Macaca mulatta: one gene and its partners. The protein of the gene in region 2 interacts with the protein of the main gene of each other region in a pairwise test. Links are inferred from orthologs where the notes say so. Each region holds a gene or a part of one and is shown on either strand. Other genes may lie near its edges.

Region 1 (7,649 bases), on a different chromosome or scaffold from region 2:
ATACACATGCTTATAGTGTTGTTGTTAACTGTTATTGAAAGCACTCTATAAATTATAAAACCCTGCGTTCATACATGAGTAACAACTCTATGACTCCTAGGCCAGCATTCTTTTTTTTTTGGTTGGTCTCAGTTTTTAATCGTGGCAGGACCTCACGCACTTGCACGTGTGCGCGCATACACACACACACACACACACACACACACACACACACACTAAGGCTTCAGATCTTGTTGAAAGCTGCAATGTTGACACTCTACACATGCTCTCAAACTTGGTAATCTCCTCTTCCAGAAAGTTTGTCCCTACCTTGTCATCCTCCACCACACACTGAATCTGCAGCTTCCGGATACCAAAGCCCATGGGCACCAGCTTGGAGGCCCCCCCAGACCAGCCCGTCCAGCTGGATGAAGCGCATACAGGCCTCCAATTGGGCTATGTTGGTCTCATTGTCCCAAGGCTTGACGTCCAGCAGGATGGAAGACTTGGCCACCAACGCAGGCTTCTTGGCCTTCTTCTCCACATACCACCGCAGCCACTTCTCCCACAGCCGGAATGCCTCCTTGTCTTCCTCCTCATTGTCGCTGCCAAACAGGTCAATGTCATTGTCCTCGTCACCCTCTGCTAGTGCGGCTGCCTTCTTGGCTGGGGGCTCCACTTGGCGCATGGGAGACACATGCTGGATCTGCACGGCTGTGTCCCTGTGGCCAGACAAGCTCTTCTCCAGCATGTTCAGTCATAGGCCAGCACTCTTTTCACTATACTAAGTTGTCAGACCCATAGAGAACTAACACCTATTGATAACGCACTGTGTGTCAATGACTGCTAAAGGGACACTACACATCATGGCCTGCAAAACTATCCATAGGACCCAGCCACACGTAGGATGTGCCACACATCTAAGAATATTCAGTCAGCTCTAACCATGCTGTAGGCTTCCAGAGACCCAATATACAAAAGGGAGAATACAGAGAATGCTCCTAGTGTACAGTATTCTCTGTACTCCTAGAATACAGAGAATACAGAATCTACCTCCTAGAAAATAGTTAATAGCTCATTGCCCACGTACTTCCATAGCTGCCTATTTGTTCTCAAATCCATTCTCTTTTTCAATTACTTACCAAGCTTGTTTACTTAGGGAAGGGGATGTCTCAAGTCTTGCCAAGCAGAGATATTAAATTAGATTTTTCAGTTCTTCCAGGCCTCGGCCCCCAAATAATCCTGTTAATGAACCCACAACTCCTCTGGCTTTCCTTGCTGGGCCAAGCTTGAGCCCCATGAAGCTGTGCCAGTCTCAACTCTGTCTTGTAGCCAGCACTGCCATTCTCATAGTGAAAGGCTGTTAGCCTCTGCCAGCACCATTCCACCCTTGAATAAACAACCTTTTCAGCTAGCCAAAATGCTTAGTTTCTTTCAACTAGGATTCTGCAATTTGAATCTGTAATCCAATTAGACATTTCTTAACCAAATTTGGCAACTCTTTACCATTTAAATTAGGTTTTGATCTTTCATTCCTCTCTCTTCCTAAGCATGGACTTTCTGGTAGAAGAACTGGTAATGAAGAAAACTATTTCATTCTGTCTCAGGCCAAGGCTAACAAAAACTATGATAATAATAATAAATGTGTAACTCTGTGAATTATAAAGTCCTATGTTAAATAATAATTAATATCACCAGGCTCTTTTCATTATATTAGGCTATAAATACCTCTCCCCCACATCTTCCCCGCACTGCCTCTTACCCCGTCTTTCCTAGAGATGCATTTGCTGAGACTTTGGCTTTTTCTGCTTTCAGAATTTTGCTGAAGAATATCCCTCTTGGTCAGAAGTGAAACATCTGCTACGCTTCCCAGGACAGGCCATTCTATAACCTTGACTTCATTAAGAGGAAAAGCTATCTTAGCATTTTATTTCCCCTTTTGCCCATATTAACATAAAACTTTGAGCTTCAATTTCTAAACAGCCATACTAGTTCCACATCTTCACATTCTTCCTAAAACAGAATCTTAAGATAGGATTCCCATTATTAGCTTATCGCAATGTATAGAAACTCATGACGTGTGTAAGGAATGAACATACTAATGAATCTCTACACATCTCCAAGCATATACATAATTTCTTGCCCAATAAATCAACAGTCCCTTACATAGTACCTAAAGTTGTGCTGTCCAATACAATAGCCACCAGCCACAAGTGGCTGTCTAAATTAATTAAAATTACATAAAATTTAAAATTTAGTTCCTTAGTTGCTCAACAGACACACGTGGCTAGTGGCTACAATACCACATTGGACAGCACAGATATAAAACATGTCTGTCATCACAGAAAATTTATTGGACAGCACTGATAGAGGCTGCTTATCAATAACACTGTTGTGAGAAATGGTGACTAGAAGCACTGAACACAGGTCACGGGTAACCAATACTTTTTACAAACAACTTGTTCGGGAAGTGAATTCCGCTGTTGCAGCATGAATAGCAGACTTAAAAGTACATTTTGGCTTTAACAGGTAATCTGGATCCTTACCAAAAATTTCTTTTTCTCACTGGCCCCTGCACATGAGCTTGTTGTTACTGTGGGGCTGTTCAGAAGGGCTGAGCTGCTGCTGTTGTGTTTTTTCTTTAAAAACAAAAACACTGAGGTTAATAATTTGTTTCCTTCGTGCAACATAAGTTTGACAACATTAAAGTAAATCATGGATCCAAAGATCTAGTACCTCTTGTTAAGATTACTTCCTGGCCGGGCACGGTGGCTCACGCCTGTAATCCCAGCACTTTGGGAGGCCGAGATGGGCGGATCACTAGGTCAGGAGATCGAGACCATCCTGGCTAACATGGTGAAACCCCGTCTCTACTAAAAAATACAAAAAACTAGCCAGGAGAGGTGGCGGGCGCCTGTAGTCCCAGCTACTCGGGAGGCTGAGGCAGGAGAATGGCGTGAACCCAGGGGGTGGAGCTTGCAGTGAGCTAAGATCCGGCCACTGCACTCCAGCCTGGGCGACAGAGCCAGACTCCGTCTCAAAAAAAAAAAAAAAGATTACTTCCTAACAAATAGTCAATCCTTTTTACAGTCTTCTGCCTTCATAACCACTGACTTCACTCTAACAGTGCAGCAGCAGGCACAGCAAAAGATCAAGACTTCCCTCATCACAGCTTTTAGGCTCTAAGCAGAAGGAGTCCTAAAAAGGAATCCTCCTTCAAGGAACTATCAGTAACCATTCCACCCCTCCTTTTCCCAGCCTGGACCTTTTGGGCCTTCCAATTCAAGAAAGCTTCCCCTTTTTACCCACTAACTGATACTCATGCCAATAGTCCAGTGTGGAGAAAGATCAGCTAACTGGAGCAGTGTTACCAAGCACACTCTACATAGGAAGACAGGAAGGAAAGTGAGGTCATTAGGCTCAAGCATGGGGGAGGGGACTCACTTCTGGTAAAATGCTCCTTCCAAAAGTGGCTTTGAATACAAATGAGTTATAGCAAGGGAGAACTCAAACAGTCAGACAGAATAACATCTGAAAACAGTGTAAGAATGGGCCCTTATCTGTTTATATACCTCCAGTACTGTAAGGTAACAACAACAAAAGCAGCTTTTTAAACTAATCCTTCTGTTTTAACATGAAACAAAAGGACTCCTCTTCCCTTGGGGTCCCTAGGATTCCTAAAGGCAGGAAATACTCTGGAAGGCTCTATCTAGCAGACCACAGACAGGAAAAGTTCTAGGGCCTTATACTATCTCTAGGAACCAATTCTGAAGAATTGGTAAACAAGATGCAAATGAGAAGAAAAGAGGTTAGCTGATAAACAGAACCACAAGGGAGAATGCCATAGACAAATTTTCATCAAATATGCCCAATATAGCTGATGTAGCATTAGATACCGACTAGGAAGGAAAGCTCCCCATCATTCACTCCTCTCTGCAGGCCAAAGTACCCAGGAAACAGGTAAGTGGCACTACGGGTGAGAAGAAGATTCTCAATGACACACAATTTTAAATGTTAAGAAAAATAGGCAATGTTTTCCTAAGGAAGCATACAACTCTCAATAAAACAGGCACTATCAACTACCTGGGTTAATAAGGTAAAGCAAACAGTAATAACAAAATCACTCATTATTGCCTTTAGAATATACTATGTGACATTTTAATTAATAAATTTACCTTCTTAATTATATTTTACATAAGCTAATACCAAATTAATTAGTTTTTCCTGATTATATACTGTAAGGTAGCTAAAAACCTTCTGACTTAGGGATCATGAATCTGAATTAAATATTTCCCAAATATCACTAAAGGGGAAAAACGTATATGAATACTGTCCCCATAACAGATGAAATGCTTACAGAAGGCTTTAAGATTCCAAATCACAGATCCATAACTGCATGGCTTTTTTTTTTTTTTTTGAGACAGAGTTTTGCTCTCTTGCCCAGGCTGGAGTGCAGTGGTGCCATCTCGGCTCACTGCAGCCTTTGCCTCCCAGGTTCAAGCAATTCTCCTGTCTCAGCCTCCTGATTAGCGGGCCTACAGGCATGCACCACCACACCTGGCTAATTTTGTATTTTTAGTAGAGATGGGGTTTCACCATGTTGGCCAGGCTGGTCTCAAACTCTTGACCTCAGGTGATCTGCCTGCCTCGGCCTCCCAATATCACTTACCATTTAACCATACCTGGTTGGTATGTATTACTTCCCATTTAACAGACTGTGAAAGGAAGGGGTCAAAAGTATTCAACCCTGGTAATGTAGTCTCCTTGGCTTTTCATATATTTCCCATTTGAAAACCCCTCCCCAACAAATCTCATTTAGCTCTGCCAGGGTCACACACACCTGCCTATTTGAGTGACCTGTGTCTTTGTTCTTCATGGTCTCATATCCAGGCATCCGGTGACGTCGGTTCATCTGGAGGGCCACCAGATCGTTCATGATTGAGTTCAATGCCTCCTGTTCGTCTGCAATGAAAGAGAGCACATGGACTAAGATACTTAAATACAGACCAGCAAAGTTCTTTCACAAACTATATGACTAATACTCAGGGAGTTCTGCCCAGGCAAAATGACAGACCCTGTAACTATAATCAGATGCAGCCCAAAAGGTCAGACTATGGCAATTTGAATTTTAACGGAATTTTTTTTCTTTGAGACAAGGTCTTGCTCTGTCCCTCAGGCTGGAGTGCAGTGGCGTGATCACAGCTCACTGCAGCCTCGAACTCTAGGGCTTAAGCGACCTTCCCACATCAGCCTCCCGAGTAGCTGGGAACACAGGCATGGGCCACCATGCCTGGATAATTTTTTAATTTTTTGTAGAGACGGGGTCTCCCCATGTTGCCCAGGCTGGTCTCCAACTCCTGGACTTCCGTGATCCTCTTGTCTCGGCCTCCCAAAGTGCTAAGATTACAGGTGTGAGCCACCATGCCTGACCTTTAATGGTTTCTTAATAGCCCTCCAATCAGATTTCCTACAGCAATATTTACCAATTAATTGCAGGGAAGGGACATGCTCAAACAGAGCAGTTTGTCCAGTGCCAGAGAAACTTAACCAGGAAAAATAGATGAAAAGTTGAAGTGAAGAACAACACAGTACAATGTAATATGGTATTGAATGAAAAGATAAATCCAGAGAGCAGATTATGGCACAGTGTCAGTCCCAGACTTATTCTTAAAGCATCATAAGGAGGAGAGTACATTTTAAAAGGTACCAAATAAGGGCCTCAGGTAACTGTTTTGAACAGAAGTTGTTTTACAAGCCTAGCATCTGAATGCCACCACCACCATCAACCCCCACCAACTCTTTACAAGTTTATAGGCCTTCTACTTCCCATAGGGAAGTCAAAGGGTAGTTCTATTGTTTTTCCTCCCTAAGCTGACCAAGCAATGCATTGTCTCCACCTTACTGCCATTACTTTTAATCCCCTTTTCTTGAAATAGCATGGAGTACTAGAGTTCTCATACATTAAAAACAAATGGCCAAAACCCAGAACACAAACCAGCCCAAGTCTATGTTGTACAAATTTTTCCCAGGTCCTTTAAGATATATTTGCCCATTCAAATAGCATTTGGAGATTGAAAATGAATAAATCTGTTGATCGGGAAGGGAACATGAGGGATGAGTCGTTACACTTGCTTTGGTGAAAACTGACTCATTTGGGGACTTGGGGCACACCTTAAAAGAAGCAAATACAAAATATTCCACCCAAAGAGAGTGCTCATCTTCTGCCCTTTATCACTGCCCCTTGGAAATATTCTAATACCCTGTGGAAAGAAATGAACAGCGTGAAATGTAGGAAGTAAAACTGCTCCAGTCTCTTCTTCCACTACTGATTGAGTGACTGACTGACTGAGACAGGGTTTTGCTCTGTTGCCCAGGCTAGAGTATAGTGGTACAATCACAGCTCACTACAGCCTCCTCCACCCCCCAGGCTCAAACAATCCTCCACCTCAGCCTCCAGAGTAGCTGGGACTACAGGTGCACACCACCACGCCCTGCTAATTTTTGTATTTTTTATTGAGAGAGGGTTTCACCATGTTGCCCAGGCTGATTTCAAACACCTGAGCTCACGCGATCCTCCCTCCTTAGCCTCCCAAAATGCTGGGATTACAGTCATAAGCCACCGTGCCTGGCCCTTCCCCTTATTTGCCTCTCCCCTCTTCCTAGACCAAATCTGCTCTAGTGCCCTATATGCCCTCTGACGAGGTGCAGAAAAGGACAAAGTTGCCTATAAAGAGGCTTTTGCTTGTTCAGGACAGTAAAATTAGATTTAAAACTTGCAGGAAAATACCAGGAGCCTAACTTCCCATATGATTCCACTTCAAAACATATACAAAAGTATGTATGAGAGTGACATAGTTGTAATATCGAAAGCATGCAGTAAAGCGGATAATGAATGAGGAGAAAGTGGGTATCTACAAAAAGACATCTGTCAAAATTAACACATATAAATCCCATCAATTATTTTATACCTTCTACAATTTCTCTATAGCTTCCTTAAAGAAGGGAACTTGGCTGGACAGGGTGGCTCATGCCTGTAATCTCAGCACTTTGGGAGGCCGAGGCAGGCAGATTGCTTGAGCCCACGAGTTGGAGACCAGACTGGGGCAACATGGCAAAACTCCGTTCTACAAAAATACAAAAAATTAGCTGGGCATGGTGGTGCACGCTGTAGGCTCAGCTACTTGAGAGGCGTAGGTGGAAGGATCACTTGAGCCCAGGAGGTTGAGGCTGCAGTGAGCCATGATCATGCCACTGTACTCCAGCCTGGGCAACAGTGAGACCGTATCTCAAAAAAGGGAACTTGGTTTTTTGTTTTGATTTTTATCCTCACAACCAAACCTTAAAAACTAGAGCATAACATCTAAGCTAGGAAGATTGGTTTATATAATAATATGTATAGGTTTATATATTAAATGGCTTATATATTATTAAATATGTAAAAAATTGGACCAACTGTAATAATAAATTGGGATCAATGTAAGCAGGATTATGACTAGGTTTAAGCGTTTTCTGAGGAGCATCCAACAATACTCCTAAAAGCGGAATGCACAGTTATCAGTAACAACATTAACCACCCTAAGAATTGAGAATTTTCAGTTCTTTCAACTCAGATACTGAACGAAGACGGATGTGAATACACATACAGGCACACACATACACACACCACTTTT
Region 2 (7,649 bases):
TAAATATTTTGTTACTAGAATAAAGCCTTCTTGCCATCTTATCCTGAAGCATAACATTTCTAGTCTGCCACTTTAACCCTTAAAAATGAAACACTACCAATCAATCTTCCTAGTCTGCATGTAATTGCCTAAAGCTAAAATAAAGCTTTTTCTCAGCCAGTTACAGTAAAAATGAGTTAATATATTGGCAACAGAATAACCATCAGCAATCAGCCGTTAGCCGTTTACTAATGAACTCCCAGATGAATAAAAAAATTTCAGAATCAGTGTTTTACTTCAGGCTGTACATGAACTTCACACTTCAGATGTAGAAAAAGCAACTTACATGCTATACAAATAAATACTAGTGCTTCATCTCAATAAACTGCAGATTTGGAAAATGTTTGGAGCTCACTTGTAGATCCATGTTTTAATAGTAAATATGATTTTGGGTGACATCAGTAAAGCCCTTTCTTGCAATTAATCTTATATTGAATTTTATGGTTTGATTTTGTTTAAAAACAATTGCTGATACTACTAAGTCTTTTAGAAATTTTGAATCTGAAGAATAGGTTCTTTTCCAGTGAATTATAACTGTGTTTGAGAAGAAGAATGAGGCATGAAAGAGTAGGGCCCTACAAAGTACTGGGAACAATGGAGAAGAATTAGCTTATGGAAAGAAAAATACTTTTTTTTTCCAGACTAGGCTAATAGGTTTATAAAAGACTGATATTCACACTCTTATTCTTCAGTTCTAATGTCATAATAAGATGATGTCAAAAAAGTACAGAATAAAAATGTGTCACAAAAGTATAATAAAATCATGGAACATAAAATTGTCACTATAGTGTAGTAAAAAAAATTACATTACATACTTTAGGGAATGTAAATAGTTTTAAAAAAGAAACTGTCAAGTTATGACATGAGAATGAATACCGTCAATCTATTGATGGTTCATATATAACAACAGAGAAGATAGCTTTAAAATTCAATGTACTGTGTGTGTTTCAGACTACAGGAGAACACAAGCCTTCTTGATTTTTAATTTATCCTACTTAGAGATAGTGAAGATTGAGAACTACCGAAGTGGGAACTCAGGAAGTAGTAAAATGGCAGTAGAAACGAAACAGCATTGGGTTTTTAGTATAGTCAAGTAGTAGTTAAAAATAACAATTGTAGAATTTTTTCCTCTGCCCAGAATTGATTCTTGTAGGTTCACAACAGGAAGGCTGGGAGGGACTGTCCAGAGCGTCAGGTCTCCTGATTACTAGGAAAGTGCTGAGCGGAGGCCACCCATGGCCTCATCATGTGTCACCTTGGTGGGTGGAGGGAGCAGGTGTCAGATTCAGATTTCTGTTTTTTTTTTAAAGACAGGGTCTTGCTCTATCACTCAGACTGAAGGCTGGAGTGCAGTGACAATCTCATAGCTTGCTCCAACCTCAGACTTCTGGTCTCAAGTGATCCTCTTACCTCAGTCTCCCTAGTCTCTGGGATTATGGGTATGCACCATCACCCTCAGGTCTCTGCTTTTTGGCTAGTGCTATTTCTTCTGTGACAAAAAATGTCCATGATATTGAAGAGTAACTTTAATAAATACACACACCACTTTTTTTTTTTTAATACTCACAATTGTGTCAAAAAGTTAAGTCATATCTGAGTGTGTGATATGGTTCAAGGTCAAATAAGGGGATCCAGGAATTTATTTTCTGTTTGTATACTATCCAGCCATGCTAATTAAATCACCAGCAAAATAAGGCAGGCGTCTATGTCCATTAGATGATGTGTATGCTGAACTAATGTATTATCATGTGTACATGTTTCGAGAGAGAGAAGCTAAGTGCTTTATTTTCTTTTTTTGTGTACAGGTTTCAGCAAGCAGATGGTGGAAATTCTTCACAAACATAATATTCAATTTAGCAGCTTTGATATCTTCTCAGATGAAGAGGTTCGACAGGGACTCAAAGCCTATTCCAATTGGCCTACCTATCCTCAGCTCTACGTTTCTGGAGAGCTCATAGGAGGACTTGATATAATTAAGGTTAGAATTGAGAAGTCTGTGCTTTGTAAATAAATTCCATTTAGAGCATACTTTTTAAAGTGTGATAAATCTAAGATACAAATTTCTTATGAATCTATATTTACTAATAAGAACCTGCAATGAATACACAGTATTTCTGATTAGTTGATTGATCAATAAGCTGTGTTATGGTGTGATCAAGGAGATTTATGTTATAATAATTTTTTTTTATAAAACTGACATGTGTGCTTATTTTAGGAGCTAGAAGCATCTGAAGAACTAGATACAATTTGTCCCAAAGCTCCCAAATTAGAGGAAAGGTAAGTGTTTTGGAAAGTTTTAAATAGTCTGTCATTTAATATGTTAAAAATATTTTAAAGTCCTCAGGTTTTGCATTGCTCTTTCTGTGTAGAAATCAAGGATTTGGTATTTGTATGCCAGAGGTCATAATTTCATTGTTTAGTCAAACTAGCCATGCAAACTTTGGCAAATCTAATTTGGATTGGAGAAATTTTAGCACCAACTTAATGATCATGTGGAGGACCTTCTTTGCTTTTATAGAAATGTCATTGTTTCTGTGGAACAACCAAATTTTGCTTACCTCTCTGCATTTCAGAGCCAGGGTCCAGTTGTCTTGTCACTGCTCCTTGGCGTAACCTCAGCACACTCGTGTTTTCCTGGGTGCAGCCTTGGTGACTGCTGCGGGTGCTGCCCCAACGCCAGAGCACTGAGTGACAAGTGGTGAGTGTGAAAAGCTCATCACCTCGCAACAAGCTTTGGGCACTTCTCATGGCCTTTCTAGACCACGAGAACTTACATGAGCAGGTTTTGGGGCTGTGAAACATGTATTTGTTTTGTCAAGGATCTCACTTGGCTTTTGGAGAAGTTCTCTTACAGAAACGTTGGACTTTGGTGTATAAGGCAACTTAATAGGATTTTTATTGCAGTAAATGTGAATTAATATAGAACTTTAAAGAGGAACTTACTATATCAGCAATCAGCCATTCATAGGTTGGGGCTGGAGATTGTAAGATAAACCTTCCTTTGGTAATTTTTTTTTGCCATGTAACATCTTGAGAATTTCTAAAAGTGTGTAATAATAATAATTACCTCATTTGTCTGTTGTTAATTAATAATTTCTATAAATAATGTTCCATTCCACGTATGTAAGGCTGATCTTTGAGTACTGCATTCTGTCCTGTGGTTTGTACCATTTTCTGCGTTCTTCGTGAGAGAGTGATGCTCCGCATCCCTTTGTTGACTCTGGGCGTCTTCATGTGTGGTTCTTGCCTGTAGCCTGGTGATGCCCATGGCCCATGGAGGCTGTGTGTTCTCCAAGGACAGCTGTGCTTTTTATATGCTTGTATTCGCTGTTCAGTTGATTTTCCTTCTCTGCTGAGTACACTTGCTGCTGTTAATGGCCTTGTCTCCATTGGGCCTTTGTTTTCCTAAATGTGCTGTTTCTAAATCTGTGCTTGCGGACACTGAAAGGTAACTGGCTAGAATTATGTAGAAAGTAAAATTCAGCATATTTTGAGTAATAATTTAAAGGGCTCCTAGTGAGCAGAGTGCAGGAAGTGGAGTTCATGGACTTGTGACGTGTATTTTGGCAGTACATTGTGAGCTGTGGTTCCCTGTATCCAGGTGGCTGGGTTAGTTATTGGGTTGTCAGGGTCAGCATCGTATTCCTGTATCCATTCATATTTTTCTGAACTTGAGCTAATCCCACTCGGTTGGCAATGTAAGTGATACAGCTTTGTGCATGATTTATGCATTTCATTTGGGATTCGTTTATAAGGAGATTTTTGAGCCTTGAATTGGGAGAACATGGTGGCGTGACCCCATGGAGCTTAGGTTCTTTAGTGACCTGTCGTCCCAACACTGACTTTTCCTGAGATTTGTGACTAAACTTGTGGCTGTATACAGATAATTAAAATTTCTGATAACATATTAGATTATGATGTTGGCAATACTGTATAAAATATAATGTTAAGATGAAAGTATTTGATTTTAGCATCTGGCATTAGTTGATGTTCTGAGGTTTAATGCTGTCACCCTGCAGTCTGACCTTGTGAGCTTTACACGTGTACAGTGGTGTGCAGCATCATGATGGAAGATGGTGCTCACAAGATCTAGTTCTGGAAGTTTTGGATGGGCTTAATATATAGGCCCCTTATTGAACAATTCCTTACTGAATTGGTTGTTATTATTATTTTTTTATTACTGTGAGTTGATGGGCTTAAATTGCAACTTGAAGGAACATTCTTTGCCTTAAAAGCCATATTGTGTTTTACAGTGGCTTAGGGAGAGAATGAAATCAAGGAAAATGTCAACGCATTTGCTTGTTTAATACCACTCAAAGCTGTGAACTGTCATCCTGCCATCCCTCAAATATGCATGTTACTCACGAAGCGGAGGAAAAGTGGTGTTGCATAATTGAGCTGAGCCGTTTTATATCAATTTTCTCTCTTTAGGCTCAAAGTGCTGACAAATAAAGCTTCTGTGATGCTCTTTATGAAAGGAAACAAACAGGTAAAGAACTCAAAAATGGTTTTATTTGTAATTTCTTTTGATGTTAACATCTGCAACAAGGGGACAGTTAAATCTCTTTTTCCTAGCTTTAGCTAATGAAGCTGTAGCGGTATCAGGAAGTTATCCAGGCCTTAATTGGTGCTTACGGAGATCAAACAAAGTAATCTACATTTTGCTTGACTTTATCATCAACATCTCAGTGGGGTGCATTTCTTTCTGCTGCCAAACTTTGTCAGCTAACGTGGTCAACACTGTTAACACTTTACTGGTTGTATGAGTTGTTATTTCATTATCCTTTGTTGGAGTTTGTGGACTGCTGGAGTGTGCAGCTGAGTCACTGGACTTCCTGAATGCAGGGAACCTGGTCGTGCTTGGGTTTGCACCCCTAGATCGTCCTTTTGTGACAGTGGAGGAGCAAACCCTGGCTGTAGCAGGTGTGCTGTGTGTAGTGTTTGATGAATGAGTGAAATGGTCAGCAATTCTCATTTGTAATGGGATGGTTCTTGTAGCTTTTTGACGAAAGTGCATATTGATTGTGCGTCATTTTGAATATCAAGTTTGATAGATTACTTCCACTAATAGTTTGAGCAGAACTAATTTTCTTTCAGATTGAGATCAGAGTGGTAATTTCCAGAAACCAGCCATACACATTTATGCCATATTTTGTAGTTTTCATAGCAATTGAACCTCTATTTAATTCTCAATCAGTTGTTGAAGTAGGCAGGGTTGGACAGAGTTTGGCCTATTTTAGAGATAAAGAAACCAAAGCTTTGAAAGGTGAGGCTGTTGGAATAAAGAAACTGCCTCACTTGTTAGCCAGATGCACTGGGCAAGTGACACAGAGAACCACTTTGCCACTTTGCTCATTGGGAAAGGGACTCAATACTTCTTCACAGGGCAGACTCTGGTTGCCATAACTAGTGTGTAAGTTACATAACTAGTATAATGAAGCTAATTAGTTAACATAACTAATTGGTTAATATAATTAGGTAATGAAAGTAACAGTAACAAATAAAATGTTAATATAAATTTCAGCATTTTGGAATCACTAGGTTAGATCCTAAATTCTTTGGTTTTGCTTCAGTGTATTGAAACAATAGAGGAAGTTAATAATTCCTAGTAATGATAAAGTGACATTTTTTTCTTATTCTTGGTAATTGTTTAAGCGGATATTTATTCTCAAAACTGTTTTTTTCTGGAAACCTAGAAAGTTTTAATACATTTTGGAAACAGTGTTATTAGGGCTATTAAAATGTTTACATGGTACCGTATCTTTTCCACAAGATTGCTGGAATTTGGAGTCCTGTGGCATGAAAAAAGCTTAAGATTTTCATAAACTCAAAAAAGTGTTAGTATTCTGTAATGTAAAAATAAATGAGGCCGGGCGTGGTGGCTCATGCCTGTAATCCCAGCACTTTGGGAGGCCAAGGCAGGTGGATCCTGAGGTCAAGAGATCGAGACCATCCTGGCCATCATGGTGAAACCCCATCTTTACTAAAAATACTAAAAGTTAGCGGGTGTGGTGGCGTGCGCCTGTAGTCCCAGCTACTCTGGAGGCTGAGGCAGGAGAATTGCTTGAACCTGGGAAGTGGACGTCACAGTGAGCCAAGATTGCACTCCAGCCTGGGCGACAGAGTGAGACTCCGTCTCAAAAAAAAAAGAAAAAAAAAAAGGAGTCAGAGTCCAGTTGGAAATGGGAAAATAATTGTCATAATCATTGCAAAAAGACTAAGTGAGTTAAGATCATTTTGCATGAGTGAAGTGAAGAATGAACTGAAATCTTTGTAGAAAATCTAGGTTTCACTTAGAGGAACTTTTTGACCACAGAGATTATAAACTGTTGGAACACATGTCATCTCAAGTGGTTACAAACCAAAGTAAGTCTGTGGGTCACGTGTGCCTGGGTTGATGTGCAGATGGTTCGTACTTGAAGAAGGGATTAGCAGAAGCTCTGCTAGCTGAGTGAAAGCAGTGGCAACCACGATGGACAAGTGCTGTGCTGATTGACAGAGTTTTAGGTACAACCATGCTGCTTGGGTCATATAAAAAATGTAATCTTTACAAATTTTTTTTTCATCTAGGAAGCAAAATGTGGATTCAGCAAACAAATTCTGGAAATACTAAATAGTACTGGGTATGTAAATGTTGTTTTCAGATGTCCCAGAGAAGGAAGGAAATACCCTTTGCCACCACTCTCAGGAAGATAGAATTGGAATTAAGCTTTCGTAAAGCTTTCCCAAATCCTTTCATCATTCTACAGTTGTATGCTATTTGTGGAAAGATTTCTTTCTCAAGTAGTAGTTTTTAATAAAACTACAGTACTTTGTGTATTTCTTTTCACTGTGTATATTTCTACTGATCTGATCTCACTGTTGATGTTGCTTTCCAAAGATGTGTGTTGCATAATACAGTGGATCTGAATTTATTATTGCTTATAAAACACATTTGATGGAATAGGAGTACTGGTTTTTCATTATGGTTAAAAATGAAACCAGCTGTGGATTTCAAAACACAGTGTATTCTAGATCATCTGCTATCCATGCTGATTTTTATTGCACAAGAATTAGGTTTGAACTTTTGAGCTGGACCCCTCAGCAAACTAGAGTGTATATTGTTCAGTATTTCTTTGGAAACATTTCATTAATGTACTTGTCTTACAGAAATTTCTGGACCTTAGTAAAAAAAATAAAGTTAAACTTTTAAAACTCAAAAAAAAAAAAAAAAAAACCAAAAAATTCCAACCTGGCCAGGCGTAGTAGCTCACGTCTATAATCCTAGCACTTTGGGAGGCTGAGACAGGAAGATTGCTTGAGCCCAGGTGTTTGAGACCAGCCTGGACAACATAGTGAGACCCCTTCTCCACAAAAAATAAAAAAATAAGCCAGGCATGGTCACATATGTCTGTGGTCCCAGCTGCTTGAGAGACTGAGGTGGTAGGATCACTGGAGTCTTGGAGGGTGAGGCTGTAGTGAGCCGTGATTGCACCACTGCACTCAGCCTGGGTGACAGAGCAAGACCCTGTTTCAAAAAAAAGAAAAAAATATTTCAACTTTTCCGTTCTGCCACTGGTGCTTCTCAGTTGTAATGTCTATATCCATAAATATTTGTATCTTTTCATTAT
Region 3 (7,649 bases), on a different chromosome or scaffold from region 2:
GCCAACATAGCGAACCCCCATCTATACTAAAAATACAAAAAATTAGCTGGGTATGGCGGTGCATGCCTGTAATCCCAGCTACTTGGGAGGCTGAGGCAGGAGAATTGCTTGAACCCAGGAGGCGGATGTTGCAGTGAGCAGAGATCGTGCCACTGCACTCCAGTCTGGGCAACAGAGCAAGACTGTCTCCAAAAAGAAGAAAAAAAAAATTAAAAAAAATAAAAAATAAAGAATTTAAGGCCCTACGTTATGTAAGAAATAACAGGCACATCAGCTATCATGCTGTAACATTTACCTCTCCCACATCCAAGAAAATTTTAACATCAAAGAGTGTAGAAATATAAACACTTCTGCTTAATTTAAATATTTCCACTGAATTGTCAGAAAAAGAACTTTGCCCCTAACCTATTCCAGCCTCCCACCAAAAATGTGAGGCTGAACTAGGTGACAGTGTTCACCCAGGCCTAGGATTCGGGTCTACTGAGAGGTGGGTGTTGGAAGCAACAGAGCTGCTGCTCATGCCCCTCAGCTGTCACTACCACTAAACTAGTACCAAGGAGACAAGAACAAGCCCCAGCCCACATGGGCCAAGTTGAGTCTCTTCGAAGTTGATTATTCTCACAAGTTTTTTTTTTTTTTTTTGAGACAGAGTCTCACTCTGTCGCCCAGGCTGGAGTGCAGCGGCATGATCTCGGCTTACTGCAAGCTCCACCTCTTAGGTTCACACCATTCTCCTGCTTCAGCCTCCCAAGTAGCTGGGACTATAGGCGCCTGCCACCAGGCCCAGCTAATTTTTTTGTATTTTTAGTAGAGATGGGGTTTCACCATGTTAGCCAGGATGGTCTCAATCTCCTGACCTCGTGATCCACCTGCCTCGGCCTCCTAAAGTGCTGAGATTACAGACATGAGCCACAGCACCCGGCCTATTCTCACAAGTTTTGTCCTTTGAAGCATCATGTATCTTACATGCAAAGCATTTCTTGTTTCCTAGTTCTAAGCAATACTGATTACCTCACCTGCAGGGCATCAAAGAAAGCTGTCTACAAACATACCTCTTTCACTTCCACAAGACCAGAAAGAGTCAGGGCTGAACACAGCTTAGATGCTGTCTTCACTTTGCTATTGTTATCTGCCAAAAGGAAAATCTCAATTAATAGCTTTATAGGTCAAAGTAGGAAAAATAATAAAGGCTCAATCCTATGTGGGTTAGCAAGCATTCAAACAATAATAACCAGGCGGGCATGGTGGCTCATGTCTGTAATCCCAGCACTTTGGGAGACTGAGGTGGACAGATCACTTGAGGCCAGGAGTTCAAGACCAATCTGGCCAACACAGCAAAATCCCGTCTCTACTAAAAATACACACAAAAAAAATAGCCAGGCGTAGTGGCACATGCCTGTAATCCCACTTACTTGGGAAGCTGAGGCATGAGAATCACTTGAACCCAGGAGGTGGGGGTTGCAGTGAGCCGAGACTGCACCACTGCACTCTGGCCGGCACAACAGAGTGAGACTTGATCTCAAAGAAAAAACAAAAAACAAAACAAAACAAAATAACCTATTCTGTTTAATGTACAGATGGTCCTTGACTTAATGATGGTTCTACTTATAATTTTTCAACTTTTATGATGGTGTAAAAGTGATACCCATTCAAGTAGAAACCGTATACTTCAGTTTTCACTAAACTACATGAGATACTCAGCACTATTATAAACAGGCTTTGTGTTAGATGATTCTGCCCAACTGTAGGCTAATGCAAGTGTCCTAAGCGTGTTTAAGGTAGGCTAGGCTAAGCTAAGCAATTACGTTTAGTAGGTTAGATGAATTACATGCATTTTCGTCTTAATAGCATTTATCAGGACGTAACTCCATTGTAAGATGAGGACAACTGTATATACATTTTAGTGATATTATTTTATTCTTCTTCTTATTATTATTTTTGAGACAGGGTCTCACTTTGTCATGAAGTGCAGTGGCATGATCTTGGCTCATTGCAGCCTCGACCTCCCAGGTTCAAGCAATCCTCCTGCCTCAGCGCCTACCAAGTAGCTGGGACTATAGGTGGGCACCACCATGCCTGGCTAATTTTTGTATTTTTTGTAGAGACGGGGTTTCGCCATGTTGCCCAGGCTAGTCTCGAACTCCTGGACTCAAGCAATGCACCTGCCCTGGCCTCTCAAACTGCTTCGATTACGGGTATGAGCCACTGTGCCTGGCCATAGTGATACTATTTTAACTTGACAAACACTTTTTTTTTGTTCAAAGTGTTTTTACCTAAGCTCTTAAATGTTATAATTCCATTATTATTATTTTTTTTATCACTCTGCTTCTTGAAACCCCTTCCAGAGGTTGTGAGATAATGACTATGAAAAGAGGCTTATGAACTGCAAAGTGCACAGAAATACAAGTATTCTTTCTGTATAGTTCTTTTTTGCTCTCTATATAGTTCTGACTGAGACACTGCATTTAGTCACGTAAGGTTTAAACTCCCAGCAAAGAATGCTGATGTATACTACACATAACACAAAGTTCTATTTCCCCATAAACAACGAACACCTTTATACATTTCAAAATACTTTCATTTCTATTATTCTATTTGATGAAATTGTTACATTTTGACTGAAAGTCTAGTGAAAAATATTAAAATCCAGAACTGAATCACTCTGACAGCTATACCACTGATCAAAAAATTTTTTACTTCATGAACACTGTCATTAGTTTCACATGAATCAATAATTACCACATCACCCCTAGAGTTCCAGTCATTATTTTTAAACCTTTTATTTTGAAATAACTATAGATTCACAGGAAGTTGGAAAAAACAAAAAAGTTCTATATATTAAGGAGGTCTTCACTTCGTCTCTCCCCACAGTAACATCTTACCCAATTATAGCCTGATATGAAGACCAGGAAATTGATACTGATGGTCCACATAGCTTTTTCAGATTTCATTACTTTCATATGTACTCGTTTGGCAGAGGGGGCTTTATAGTTCCAAGTAATTTTATTACATGTGTAGATATGTGTAACCACCACCACATTCAGAACACAGAATTGTTCCATCTATAAAGGAGAAGCATTATACTTCCCCTTTATAGCTCCACACACCCCTTTCCTCCCACTTCTAACCTCTGGCAAACTCTAATCTGATCTCCACTACTATAATTTTGTTATTTCAAGAATATGAATGGAATTGTACAGCACAGAGCCTTTTGAGATTGGCTTTTTTCACTCAGCTACTTCCCTTGATATCCATCCAAGCTGATGTACATATAGTTAGCGTGTTCCTTTTTATTGCTGCATCACTTTCCATATTATGAACATATCAAAGTTTATTCACCTGCAAAAGGACCCACTTTTAGATGGCAGTTTCCTTCTATTTTGTTACATAATGAGTCAGCCAAAGACTACAATTTCTCCAGATATGTTGCTTCAGATTTTAACAATAACTTATCCCCAAGGAAAAGGTTTTGCTATAGGAATACTGATCTCCCAATGATATTTCCTGCTCAGGGAGATGCAGCACACATGCTCAAAGACTCAACCCTGTCAAATGTGTTTTTCAAGTGAAGATCTCCTTACCTACAGCTGTCTCTACCGGCTCTTTCAGAAAAAGACATCCACCAGGCCGAAGGATCCGGGCGATTTCAGCCAAAATCTCAGCACTGTGCAGAGTGGTGCTTCCCGGGACTAAACCCGACAAAATAATGTCAAAGCTGGATTCTTTGTGGGCAGCTGAAAAGAAAAGGACTCTAATTAGCAATCATCTGGCCTGGGACAATCTCCTGGTCCCTTTCAACCCCCAACAAAGGCTACAGACCTCACCCTGAGAGAATGGACACCACTCGGTATCCATCCAAGAAGCTGGATTAATAGTAAGCATTTTAAAAAAACATGGAATAGCTACACAGAAAGAACATCATACTTATGGAAATCATCAACTACAATCCTAAGCTCAGTGTATCTCAACTGAAAAACAACCGGGTGACGAGCCACCACTATCACATGCCACCCTAAATGAAAACTCAGATATTAAGGAACCACAGAAATGCAACACTCCCACAGAAACCCCTCCAGCCTCATACAGACAACATGGGTGGGTACTTACACTGCAACAGCTGGTTGATGTTTTCCACAGACACATGGCCTTCATTGCCAGTTAACACTTGAAGCTTATCCACCAGACCTTTCAGAGCCTCCACTGGGGATGACTTATCCCAGACCACTGCCACAAACTGGCCAGCAGAGATCCCAAAATCTGCCATTCTTGCAGTGCAGTACTGATGGACCTAAAAACTGCTGGCCAAAAGAGAATCAAGACTGGGCAAAGACAAAGTGCAATTTAATCCATGAGGTATCATAAAATATGATTAGAATCCCAACCTAACTTGTAACCGCCCACTAGGGAATGCTGACATTAGAAACCCTACTGTATATGCTAAAGAGTCTGAATACATGAACCCCATTATCTCAAGTCTTCATAATCCCAACATTCCCAAAGAAGGCCGATAGCTTCCTTGGTGAGAATCCTGACTTGGAAGAGTCAACAAAGGGGATTAGAGGCAAATAAGAAGGTTGGAGGCAGAAAGATGATTTCCTCTTTAAGATAATTCAGCATGAACGGAATGCAAAACACATAGGACATCAATTAGGCAAAGTGTGACTCAGCAAGGAAGGCAAATAAATTGACAGAAATAATCCAACCACAGGTTCAATGTTTTTAAAATGAAACAACACATTTAAAATTTGCAAATTGAATACTGGTATTTTCCCTTTCATCAAAATATGAAAATTTAATTTCACTGACTCTGCAGTGATCAAGAATACTTACCACGTCTATACCATTTAATATTAGCCAGACTGTTCAAAGCATCTTCTAAACATTATCTCGACTAAATCTCAGAACAGCCTTAAACTAGATATTATTACCATTTTACAGTCTGGAAACTCAGGCAATTTACTTTGTCCAAGTCACACAACTAGTGGGTGTTACATGGATAAAGTGAGAACTAGGATTTGAATCCAAATTCATCTGACCGTAAAGCCCATGCTTTTAACCTTTGGAAATTTCCCTCCATAGATCAACTTTCTCTTCTACTTGATACTCAGGTGAGTATATAATACGCTCACAAAGAAAGTAGTTCAAGAGATAGTACTCTATTCAGTTCCTTTCATTCTTAAACATTAATGACACCAGTTTCCAATTTAACATAGCTCAAATAAATGAAACAAACAATTTCTGGTAGAGGGGTCAAACTTGGATTAGTTTTATGTTGAACATTTCAGACTTCTGCAGAGGTGGCCAACTCAGTGGCAATCATGCCACCACAGATACAGACTGAATTTAAGCCAAGTCACTACACTCTCGTTTCTTTTAAAATGTTGACTTCAGCTGGGTGCAGTGGCTCACACCTGTAATTTCAGCACTTTGGGAAGCCAAGCCAGGCAAATTGCCTGAGCCCAAGAGTTTGAGACCAGCCTGGCCAACATAGTGAAACCCCATCTCTACTAAAAATACAAAAATGAGCTGGGCGTGGTGGTGCACGCCTGTAATCCCAGCTACTCAGGAGGCTGAGGCAGGAGAATCGCTTGAACCTGGGAGGTGGAGGTTGTAGTGAGTCAAGATCGTGCTGCTGCACTCCAGCCTGTTGACAAAGTGAGACTGTCTCAAAAAATAAAAATAAAAATAAAAAAATAAACAATTATAGCTCATGCCTATTATCCCAGCACTTTGGGAAACCGAGGCAGGTGGCTCCCTTGAGTCCAGGAGTTCAAGACCAACCTGGGCGACATGGTGAAACCCCATCTCTACTAAAAATACAAAAATTAGCTGGGTGTGGTGGCAGAATCTGTGGTAGTCTTATGTGGTAATCTTATGTAGTCCCAGCTATTGGAGTGGAGGAGAGGGCCTGAGGCGGCAGGACTGCTTGAGCCCAGGAGCTTGAGGCTGCAGTAAGCCAAGATTCCAGCCTGGGTGACAGAGCAAGACCCTGTCTCAAAAAAACCAAAGTTTACTTCAAGTAACTCTCCTCTTTGCCTACAAAACATACGCAGGATGTCAAATATTTAACACTCAAGCATTAAATACTACAGCACTTTGATCTGTCACTCTTTTTCTAAAGGAGTTACTAAACGTTTTATTTGCTAGAGTGAAGTCAATTAGCCTTCTGGATCCACGGCCTCCATAATCTGGCTCTACCTGTATCTCCCACCACTCCAAAGTGATCCCACCTTATTCTATGAAAACCCTTTGCATTTTCCCTTAATTGTGCCTTTTATCTAGCTCCTTCTGTATGATCCAACTGCTAGCGCCCCTAAAAGGATGCTAAGTGTTATCAGACAAGTAGGATTCTTTAGTCATTTAACTCTGTTTTTTTAATGGCAGAGGGCAAGTAAAAATGGAAAAAGAAAAGAAAAAAAATTATACAAAAGAGAATAATTCTGGTTTTTTTTTGGTGGGGGGGTGGGGAGGATGGAGTTTCACTCTTGCTGTCCAGGCTGGAGTGCAATCGTGGCTCACAGCAACCTCCGCCTCCCCGGTTCAAGCGATTCTCACGCCTCAGCCTCCTGAGTAGCTAGGATTACAGACGTGCATCACCACACCCGGCTAATTTTGTATTTTTTTAGTAGAGGGGGTTGGTCAGGCTGGTCTTGAACTCCCAGCCTGAGGTGATCCGCCTGCCTCGGCCTCCCATAGTGATGGGATTACAGGCATGAGCCATGTGCTCAGCTAATTCTGTGGTTTTTTTGATTGTTAGTCCTGTTTTTTGAGACAGAGTCTCACTTCATCATCCAGGCTGGAATGCAGTGACACAATCTCGACTCAGTGCAACCTCCACCTTCAGAGTTCAAGCAATTTTCATGCCTCAGCCTCCCAAGTAGCTGGAATTACAGGTGGACACCACCACACCTGGCTAATTTTTGTATTTTTAGTAGTGACAGGGTTGTTGGCCAGGCTATTCTCAAACTCCTGACCTCAAGTGATCTGCCCGCCTTGGCCTCCGTGCTGGGATTAAAGGCATGAGCCTCCGTGCCCGGCCAATTCTGGTTTTTAAATCCCTAAACAGCACACAATCAAGAACTGAAACTTTTAATTGGCACATGATGTCGAGGAAGAACCCCTGCAAACTTTAAGGTGTGCCATATGGGATCAATCTCACATTTAAGAACCAGCCAGGCAAGATGGGAGTATAGATTGCTGGACATTAAGTTATCAGAATAAAAATGATCTGTTTCTAGAATGATGTTGGAATAGGTTCTTCCTTGGGATAACAGAAAAGGATGATAAAGACCCCACCTACTAGACTACTGCAACTTTGCACTGTATTTACAGAAAAACCCTCATGAAGGAAACGAGGGGCAAAAGCTTACTTATCAACTAGAGAAAAACAAAAAGCCAAATGTCTAGACCTTTTCAGCAACATTTATGGAGGCAGTTTTATAGGGCACAGGTTTTGAGTGCAGATGACCTAGGGTCCTATCTACCACTGGATCTTATGGGCATATGACCATAGATAAGTTACTAGACTCTTTGAATTTGTTTTTTCATCAGTAAAGTAGGGATAATAACCTCATATTTTGCGAGGCTGCTGTAAGAAGCAAATGAGAAGATAATAATATGTAAGGCACTCGGCAGGCTCTGGCACACAG
Region 4 (7,649 bases), on a different chromosome or scaffold from region 2:
TTATAAGCTAACCAAATTAAAATTCATGTATTTATATTTTTTAAAGTACATGTAATCAGTTATCAATATTTAATAGCTTATATTACTTTTTAGTATAAAACTGAAGTTAATATTTTTAATTAATAAAAGATTTATTGTGTTCATTATTAATGTGGAAAAATTCAGGTCAAATATAATTGATTTACACTGGAGTATCTTTAACAATTAGTAAATTGAGGTGGCTCATGCCTGTAATCCCAGCATTTTGGGAGGCCAAAGTGGGCAGATCACGAGGTCAGGAGATCGAGACCATCCTGGCTGACATGGTGAAACCCTGTCTCTATTAAAAATACAAAAAATGAGCTGGGTGTGGTGGCAGGCGTCTGTAGTCCCAGCTACATGGGAGGCTCAAGCAGGAGAATCACTTGAACCCAGGAGGCAGAGGTTGCAGCGAGCCGAGATTGTGCTATTGCACTCCAGCCTGGGCAACAAGAGCGAGACTTCGTCTCAATAAATAAATAAATACATACATACATACATACATACATACATAGATATAAATGGCCAGTAAGTTTATGAAAAAATGCTCAACATCACTAATCACCAGAGAAATGAAATCCAAACCACAATGAGATATTATCTTTGTCCAGTTAAAATGACTATTATCAAAAAGACAAAAAAATAACAAATAATGGTAAAAATGTGGAGAAGGGGAAATCTGTTGGTGGGAAAGTAAATCAGAGCAGCCATTATGGAGAACAGTGAAGAGGTTCCTCAAAAACTAAAATTACAGCCACCATATGATTCAGCAATCCCACTACTGTTTTTTTTAAAAAGGTATTTTTTCAAATTTTTCGAAATTTTCAGAACAAAAATTTTAAAGGACAGAAAATCAATATGTCAAAGAGGTATCTGCAATCTCATGCTTATTGCAGCATTAACAGTCAACATATAGAATCAACCTAAGTGTTCAATAGATAAATGAATAAAGAAAAATTCATTCTTGATACACACAATGGAATAAAACTCAGCCATAAAAATGAATGAAATCCTATCACTGGCAGCAACATGGATGAGCCTAAGGGACATATTATTATTATTATTACTATTATTTATTTATTTATTTTTTTGAGACGGAGTCTCGCTCTGTCGCCTGGGCTGGAGTACAGCGGCCGGATCTCAGCTTACTGCAAGCTCCGCCTCCCGGGTTCCCGGGTTCACGCCATTCTCCTGCCTCAGCCTCCCGAGTAGCTGGGACTGCAGGCGCCCGCCACCACGCCTGGCTAGTTTTTTTGTACTTTTTAGTAGAGATGGGGTTTCACCCGGTTAGCCAGGATGGTCTCGATCTACTGACCTCGTGATCCGCCCATCCTGGCCTCCCAAAGTGCTGGGATTACAGGCTTGAGCCACCGCGACCGGCCAGGGACATATTATGTTAAGTGAAATAAGCCAGGCACGGAAAGAAAAATACTGAATGTTCTCACACATAAGTGGAAGCTTAAAAAAATTGATTTCTTAGAAGTAGAGAGTAGAGGCTGGGCACGGTGGTTCACGCCTGTAATCCCAGCATTTTGGGAGGCCAAGGCAGGCGGATCACAAGGTCAGCAGTTCGAGACCAGCCTGACCAATATGGTGAGACTCCGTCTCTACTAAAAATACAAAAACGAGCTGGGTGTGGTGGGGCGCGCTTGTAGCCCAGGTACTTGGGAGGCTGAGGCAGGAGAATCGCTTGAACCTGGGAGGCGGAGCTTGCAGTGAGCTGAGATGGCACCACTGCACTCCAGCCTGGGCAACAGGGCAAGACTCCATCCAAACAACAAAAAAAAGTAGATAGTAGAATACTGGTTACTAGAAACTGTGAAGGGTAGAGAGGAGAGTTATAAAGACAAGTTGGTTAATGAATACAAAATTACATTTAGATAGGAGGAATAAATTCTAGTGTTCCACAGCTATGTAGGTTGACTATAATTAACAATTTATTGTATATTTTCGAGAGGATCTGGAATGTTTTCGACACTAAGAAATGATAAATATTGAAAGTGATAAGTATGCTAACTATCCTTATTTTTCATTACACATAGTACATGGGCATTAAAATGCCACACTGTACTCTATAAATATGCACAATTATTATGTGTCAAAAACAATTTGAAAAGTAGAAAACAGTCTTCCTTCTTGAGGAGGCTCAAGAAATATTGATAACTTCTTTAGCCATCAAAGAGATTTTTTTACAAGTTTCAAATTTGTATTAAGCATACTTAATATCAGCCTTTGTCATATGTGATAACATCCTTTATGTATTTTATGAGACCCTGATTTTTAAAATATCTATTTCTGTGTATTTCTTGCATAATACAATAATGACCCAAAATTCCTATGATTGTGCCACTTAAGTGCATTGTGGGAAATTAAGTTACTAAAGATAGTGCAAGAAAGAAGTGATTTATGAAATGAAAACTGGCTGGACACACGGAGTTTCTTGTTTCTATTTGATCTACCTGATTTTTAACACCAAATAAATGTTAAACCTCTTATTGCTGAGATTAATTATAATTCAGTGCAACAAAATCCAGGACTTTTTACTCCTTTATTAATGGCATTTATAAAATTGGGTCTTCCAAAGAACAAAAGCAGCATCATAAAAATGCAGTTGTATTAGTTACAATAAAAAGGTGAGTTGTATTACACATAAAATATTAACCCCTTGTTTGGTGCCACTTATTGAAACTCAAAAATAAACTTAATTTAAATTTTATTTCAAATTATAAAGCAATTATTCAGTATTGAGATTAAAGAGCACTTTGCTCAGTACCAAAGTTTGGGGATTAAAAAAACAGTCTCAACTCTTTAGGTTCTCACCCCAGAGGGAGCTATATAACTTCTCTGGACCTCAGTTTCTTCTTTTGAAAAATGGAGATAACTGTAGCACCTATACATCATAGACTTTCTATAAGGATTAAATGAGTTAATACATGTATCAGGCATACAACAAAGACAGGAAAACAGTGTTAATTAAATGTTTGTTATTGGCCATTATCATAGATTGTATTTAAGATCACAGAAAGTACAATTTTCTAAGGCATTTGTGTTTTGCTTTAAAACTGAACCTGACCTAAAAGAATGAGAGTAATCTCTTAGCAGAATATATAGTTTTGCCATTTCAGACTTTGGTGAATTATTCATTTGTTAATCTGGTTAAGCAAGCTGGAAGCACAGTTCTGTTTTTTATGAGTATTTTGTGTCTTTGAAATTACCTGACTTAAATATTCTAATCCAGGTGGACAGTTTAATGGAGGCGGTGGTGCTGGCATCCATGGTATCCCTGCAGCTCCACCTGGCTGATTATATACTGGCTGATTATACATTGGCTGATTTGGGACAGGAAAGCCAGCTGGGCCAGGACCTGAATGGCCAGCTGGTGGGGGTGGGTAGCCAACCTGGGGCCCAGGGTAGCCATTATATCCTGGAGGTCCTGAAATACAAACAAGTGAAATGATTTATAACTGCACCAAAGATGGAATCATCAACCATTTTAGGGTTACGCCATATATCTATAAGTTGACATTTCAGCATAGAAATCTGTATCTGTGATGTTTAAGATATGCTTTTATCTTTCTGAGATTTTTCAATGAAATATCTGTGGTTGCATATCCACTTCTGTTTTGAGGATAGCAGGCAGTGAATAGCCTTACCCTTACCATTCAAAACTCAGATGGAAAATATGCTTTAATATCTGAGAAAATGAAAGTAAATAACCATGATCTACAGTCACCTACATAAAGATTCTGGCAAGCCTCAAGGGAAACAGACATGGCATTGGTAGAAGGCCCAAAATAATGGCTTTGAGTCAGCATTTCTAGGGCCAAAGTACCTTGTGAAAAATGATAATTCTGAAATTCTAGCAAATGACTTATAATGTATGTATAGAACTGGGGGTAGTTTTGCCCCCTCTCTGCCAGGGATATTTGACAAGATTTGCAGACTCTTTTTGGTCACAACTGGAGGGGAAGATAATACTGCATCTGGTGGGTGGCGGCCAGGGCTACTGCTACACATCTTCAAAGACCCAGAACAGCTCCCTAACAATGAAGAATTGTCCAGCCCAAAATATTATAGTGCCACTGTTGAAGGTGAAAGCATGTCATTTCTTTCAGTACATTCCAGATACCTGCTTGAGTTAATCCTTTGCATTATGTTTTAATCCATAATGTATTGCTTTCCTAAGTCCTTCTTCATTAAAAGAAAATTTCATTGTAATATTTAGGTTAGAAATTTAAATTTCACAATTTAACATCCTTTGGTCTCTGGAAAATATAATTTGAGAAATAAGGATGGGAAAAAATTGTAAGAGGCAGAGTAGAGGCAGAAATTTAATAAGAGTAAGTGTACTTCATATTCTCTATGAATATGTGATTACAATGAAGATTTATATGCCTGTTTGGATGGTCCACAAAATTCCATAGCAGTGGAATATAATTTCAAAGGACTGTGTTTCTCAATATTTTAACATTAAAGCCTATGCAAAATGCAATACTTAGAATAGGAAATGTATACATTCTTTTAAATGGAACATTTATGACAAAATTCATTTGCCTTTAAAAAATAAGGCTTAGATAAACAGATTAAACCTCACAATAATGCATCATAAATAAAGTTTTTATAATTTATTCCTTTATGATGAATGAATATTTACAAATGATCCATAATGTGACTGGCTGTGTTGTAGAATATGAGGACACAAATCTCAAGGAGGCATCCTGCTGTCAGAGAGCTTACAGTCAACTTCTGAGAGAAAGAAAACACATTTAGAACAAAAAAAATTCATATGAATGTGATGGAGAAGAATGTATGTCAGGGAGGGCAGGGCATGAGGCAGTTACTTTAGGTAAATATAATTTCCATCAAAGTCTAAAAGATGAGAAAAGCTTTATATGAAGATCTAGTGAGAAATGCTTCAGGAGGAAAGAAAGGCAAATAGAATACCTCTGACTTTGTAATGAATCTGACATGCTGTTAGCAAAGCAATAGGAAGCTGTTCATCAAAGGAGGCCTTAGTAAGGAGTCTGGATTTGGTTCCAATTATGATTGGCAAGTACTGGAGGATTCTGAGCAGAAGAATGAGTTCCATGGTCTTATTTATATCTTACAAAATTTTCAGGAGTAGAAAAGTATTAGAATTTACAATGGAAGACACAGATGCAATCCCTGTCCATCATTGTTTAATGAGAGAGACAACTTTAAATCCCCACTTATTCTAGGGAGCTATAATACCAGAGTAATTAATTGATTAATTAGAATAAGAGATAAATGCTTTCAAGTAAGAGACCACGGTTTTATGACTAGAGATGCCAAAGGTCGCTATTGAGATGGGAAGAGAAAAAGGGAAGGAGTAGGAACAGCTGCCCTGAGGGGTCACCTTTACGCTGAGATCTGAAGGATGCACAGGAGTTCAGGAGGCCAGAGTCATAGAAAGAACATTTCAGAGCAAAGTCCTGGGACAATAACTAACATAGGCCTTTAAAAATCTGAAAAATAGCCTGTCTAGCTGAATAGCAGCAAGCCAGGCTCAAGAGGAGGTTAAAGAGAGAGCATGGAAAAGGCCATCCTGGGTTTAGTGTTAGCCTTTATCCTAAAAGTAATAGGACACTAATAAAATAGGGGTTATACACTCTCTGTAATATGAGCAGATTTACATTTTTAAAGATCACTGGCGTCAGCACAGAACCCAGACCATAGGCAGACCAGTGGGTATGTGGAGATGTGATTTAATTTCTCACATTTTTAACATCATCATAATTTCCCCCAGACTCTGAAAATATGATTGATTACTCATCAAATGAATGAATTAAGCATAAAGAATTACCTGAAATTTGAATACTAGTATCATTTATGTAAAGACTAATTGATTTAAAATATTTTAAATATGTTAGCAAATACTTGTCATTTCTTATTTGCAAGCATTGTGCTCAGTGTTTTACATATACTCTCATTTACTCTACAAAGCAACCTACATTGAAAATATCACCCTCATTTATAGATAGGAACACTGAGGCTTTGAGGTACTGCAACTTGTTTAAGACTACCACATAAGTATCAGTAAAGAAGGCAGAACCTAGTTTACCAGCACATTTACCTATACAATTTTTTTTTTTTTTTAAAGCAGGCAGAACCTGAAGTCTGATCCAAACTCCCTATGCCTCAGCTTTCCCACATACACAATGGGGATAACTAACAATATTTACCTCATAAGAGTTTTCTGAGAATTAAATGTATTAATCCACATTAATTCCACATTTAAAACAATAACTAAAGCATGGTAAGCTCTCAATTTTAAATTATCCTTACTGTTAGCATCATTGTTATCTTAAGACTTGTGCTATATGTAATCCTGGACTTGAGAAACAAAATAAAGCTGTGGAGTGATATATATGTATATATATATATATATATATATATATATATATATATGCAAACTCTCAAGTCTGATTATATCTGAACTGTATTATTTATGTATATCCACTTTTAATTTAGTGATAGGGTGGATTACGTAATTCTCTTAAGTGCCTTGGATGACTATTATAGACTTACTAATGATTTTCCAAACAGCAACCCTGTAAGAATTTGGAGCAGAGGTTCTCAACCCTGGCTTCACATTAGAATGACTTCGGGTGTTAAAAGATTACTATTCCTTAAGTTCCACCACCAGAAGCTATGATTTAATTTTTCTGGAATAGTGCCCTGGCACTACTATTTTGAAGTGGTTCTGGGTGATGATACTTCAGTGCAGGCATGGTTCCCATGAGCCACCACCTGAGAGTCTTTGAGCTTATCTAGCTCATATTCTTTTAGTTGCAAACATCTGGATGAGATCCAGGACGCAGGGAGGTTTCTTGCTAGGCAATTAAACATGACACCAGCTCCTAAGCACATTTGTTTACTCAGGGAAGAGCATACAATGGGTACATCCTTCTATCCAACCCACATTCCCTTTGATCCTAAATCCCCAGGATGCTCTTTCAAGATCTGGGTAGCCTGCCTGCTTGTAAATCTGGACATGCTATGGCCTTTGCTATTTTTAAAGTTCTAGTATTTTGGATAACTGCATTTGCCTAAATGAAAATCTCTGAATTCTTTCAGGCATTGGTTGAAAAGAAAAAATGTACTCAATTGCATACGTAGTCAAATGACTCAATTATTTTTCTTAGAAATACAGGGCTGAATCAGTATATATACAAAAATAAAGCTTTCATATATATTATAAAATTAAAATGAGAATTATTCCCACGTAACTGAATTTCTATTACTTCCAGTTTTAAGCAGTCTTATCATTTTGATGTGACTCTCACTGAACACATGCCAAGCTACATGACTCAATTTATCAGAAATAAATTTCCTAAATGTGATTAAATGATCATAATTTTCAGAACAGATGGAGGATCAATAAAATATTTTACTTAACATTTGTGTATTGGGATGTGCAGTCTTGTATTTCATTTGCTAAATTTAAACCTAATGCTGTTTTTACTAGCTTTCTTTATACCTTTACTGTCCTCTATAAATAAAAATTACTTCTATGGAAAATGTATAGCCAAATAAAAATAATCAAGAACAACTAGGCTGCCAAAATTTCATTAATATAGTTTTAAAAAAAGAGCAACTAAAATAAAAAC

Evidence for each region.
Region 1: the proteins of GLRX3 (region 2) and MAP3K3 interact in a two-hybrid assay, tested with the Homo sapiens proteins (2 studies listed by BioGRID and IntAct). The link is inferred for Macaca mulatta from reciprocal best matches to the Homo sapiens genes GLRX3 and MAP3K3.
Region 3: the proteins of GLRX3 (region 2) and CIAPIN1 interact in binary tests that used the Homo sapiens proteins (3 or more experiments, as listed by UniProt). The link is inferred for Macaca mulatta from reciprocal best matches to the Homo sapiens genes GLRX3 and CIAPIN1.
Region 4: the proteins of GLRX3 (region 2) and PLSCR1 interact in binary tests that used the Homo sapiens proteins (3 or more experiments, as listed by UniProt). The two-hybrid records come from large-scale screens. The link is inferred for Macaca mulatta from reciprocal best matches to the Homo sapiens genes GLRX3 and PLSCR1.

What each region holds. Positions count from the first base shown.
Region 1 is NC_133421.1:73,425,570-73,433,218, reverse strand, and holds part of MAP3K3 (mitogen-activated protein kinase kinase kinase 3), read right to left. Parts: intron 4,942-7,649; coding exon 4,820-4,941; intron 2,735-4,819; exon of another isoform or gene 2,716-2,734; intron 2,619-2,715; coding exon 2,526-2,618; intron 585-2,525; exon of another isoform or gene 364-584; coding exon of another isoform or gene 310-363; intron 1-309. UniProt on the Homo sapiens protein: Component of a protein kinase signal transduction cascade. Mediates activation of the NF-kappa-B, AP1 and DDIT3 transcriptional regulators.
Region 2 is NC_133414.1:142,207,524-142,215,172, forward strand, and holds part of GLRX3 (glutaredoxin-3), read left to right. Parts: intron 1-1,844; coding exon 1,845-2,017; intron 2,018-2,254; coding exon 2,255-2,316; intron 2,317-4,470; coding exon 4,471-4,528; intron 4,529-6,609; coding exon 6,610-6,662; intron 6,663-7,649. UniProt on the Homo sapiens protein: Together with BOLA2, acts as a cytosolic iron-sulfur (Fe-S) cluster assembly factor that facilitates [2Fe-2S] cluster insertion into a subset of cytosolic proteins.
Region 3 is NC_133425.1:53,033,570-53,041,218, forward strand, and holds part of CIAPIN1 (anamorsin), read right to left. Parts: exon of another isoform or gene 5,662-7,649; intron 5,595-5,661; exon of another isoform or gene 5,454-5,594; 5' UTR 4,265-5,453; coding exon 4,108-4,264; intron 3,735-4,107; coding exon 3,582-3,734; intron 1,130-3,581; coding exon 1,053-1,129; intron 1-1,052. UniProt on the Homo sapiens protein: Component of the cytosolic iron-sulfur (Fe-S) protein assembly (CIA) machinery required for the maturation of extramitochondrial Fe-S proteins.
Region 4 is NC_133407.1:49,510,282-49,517,930, forward strand, and holds part of PLSCR1 (phospholipid scramblase 1), read right to left. Parts: intron 3,452-7,649; coding exon 3,234-3,451; intron 1-3,233. UniProt on the Homo sapiens protein: Catalyzes calcium-induced ATP-independent rapid bidirectional and non-specific movement of phospholipids (lipid scrambling or lipid flip-flop) between the inner and outer leaflet of the plasma membrane resulting in collapse of the phospholipid asymmetry which leads to phosphatidylserine externalization on the cell surface.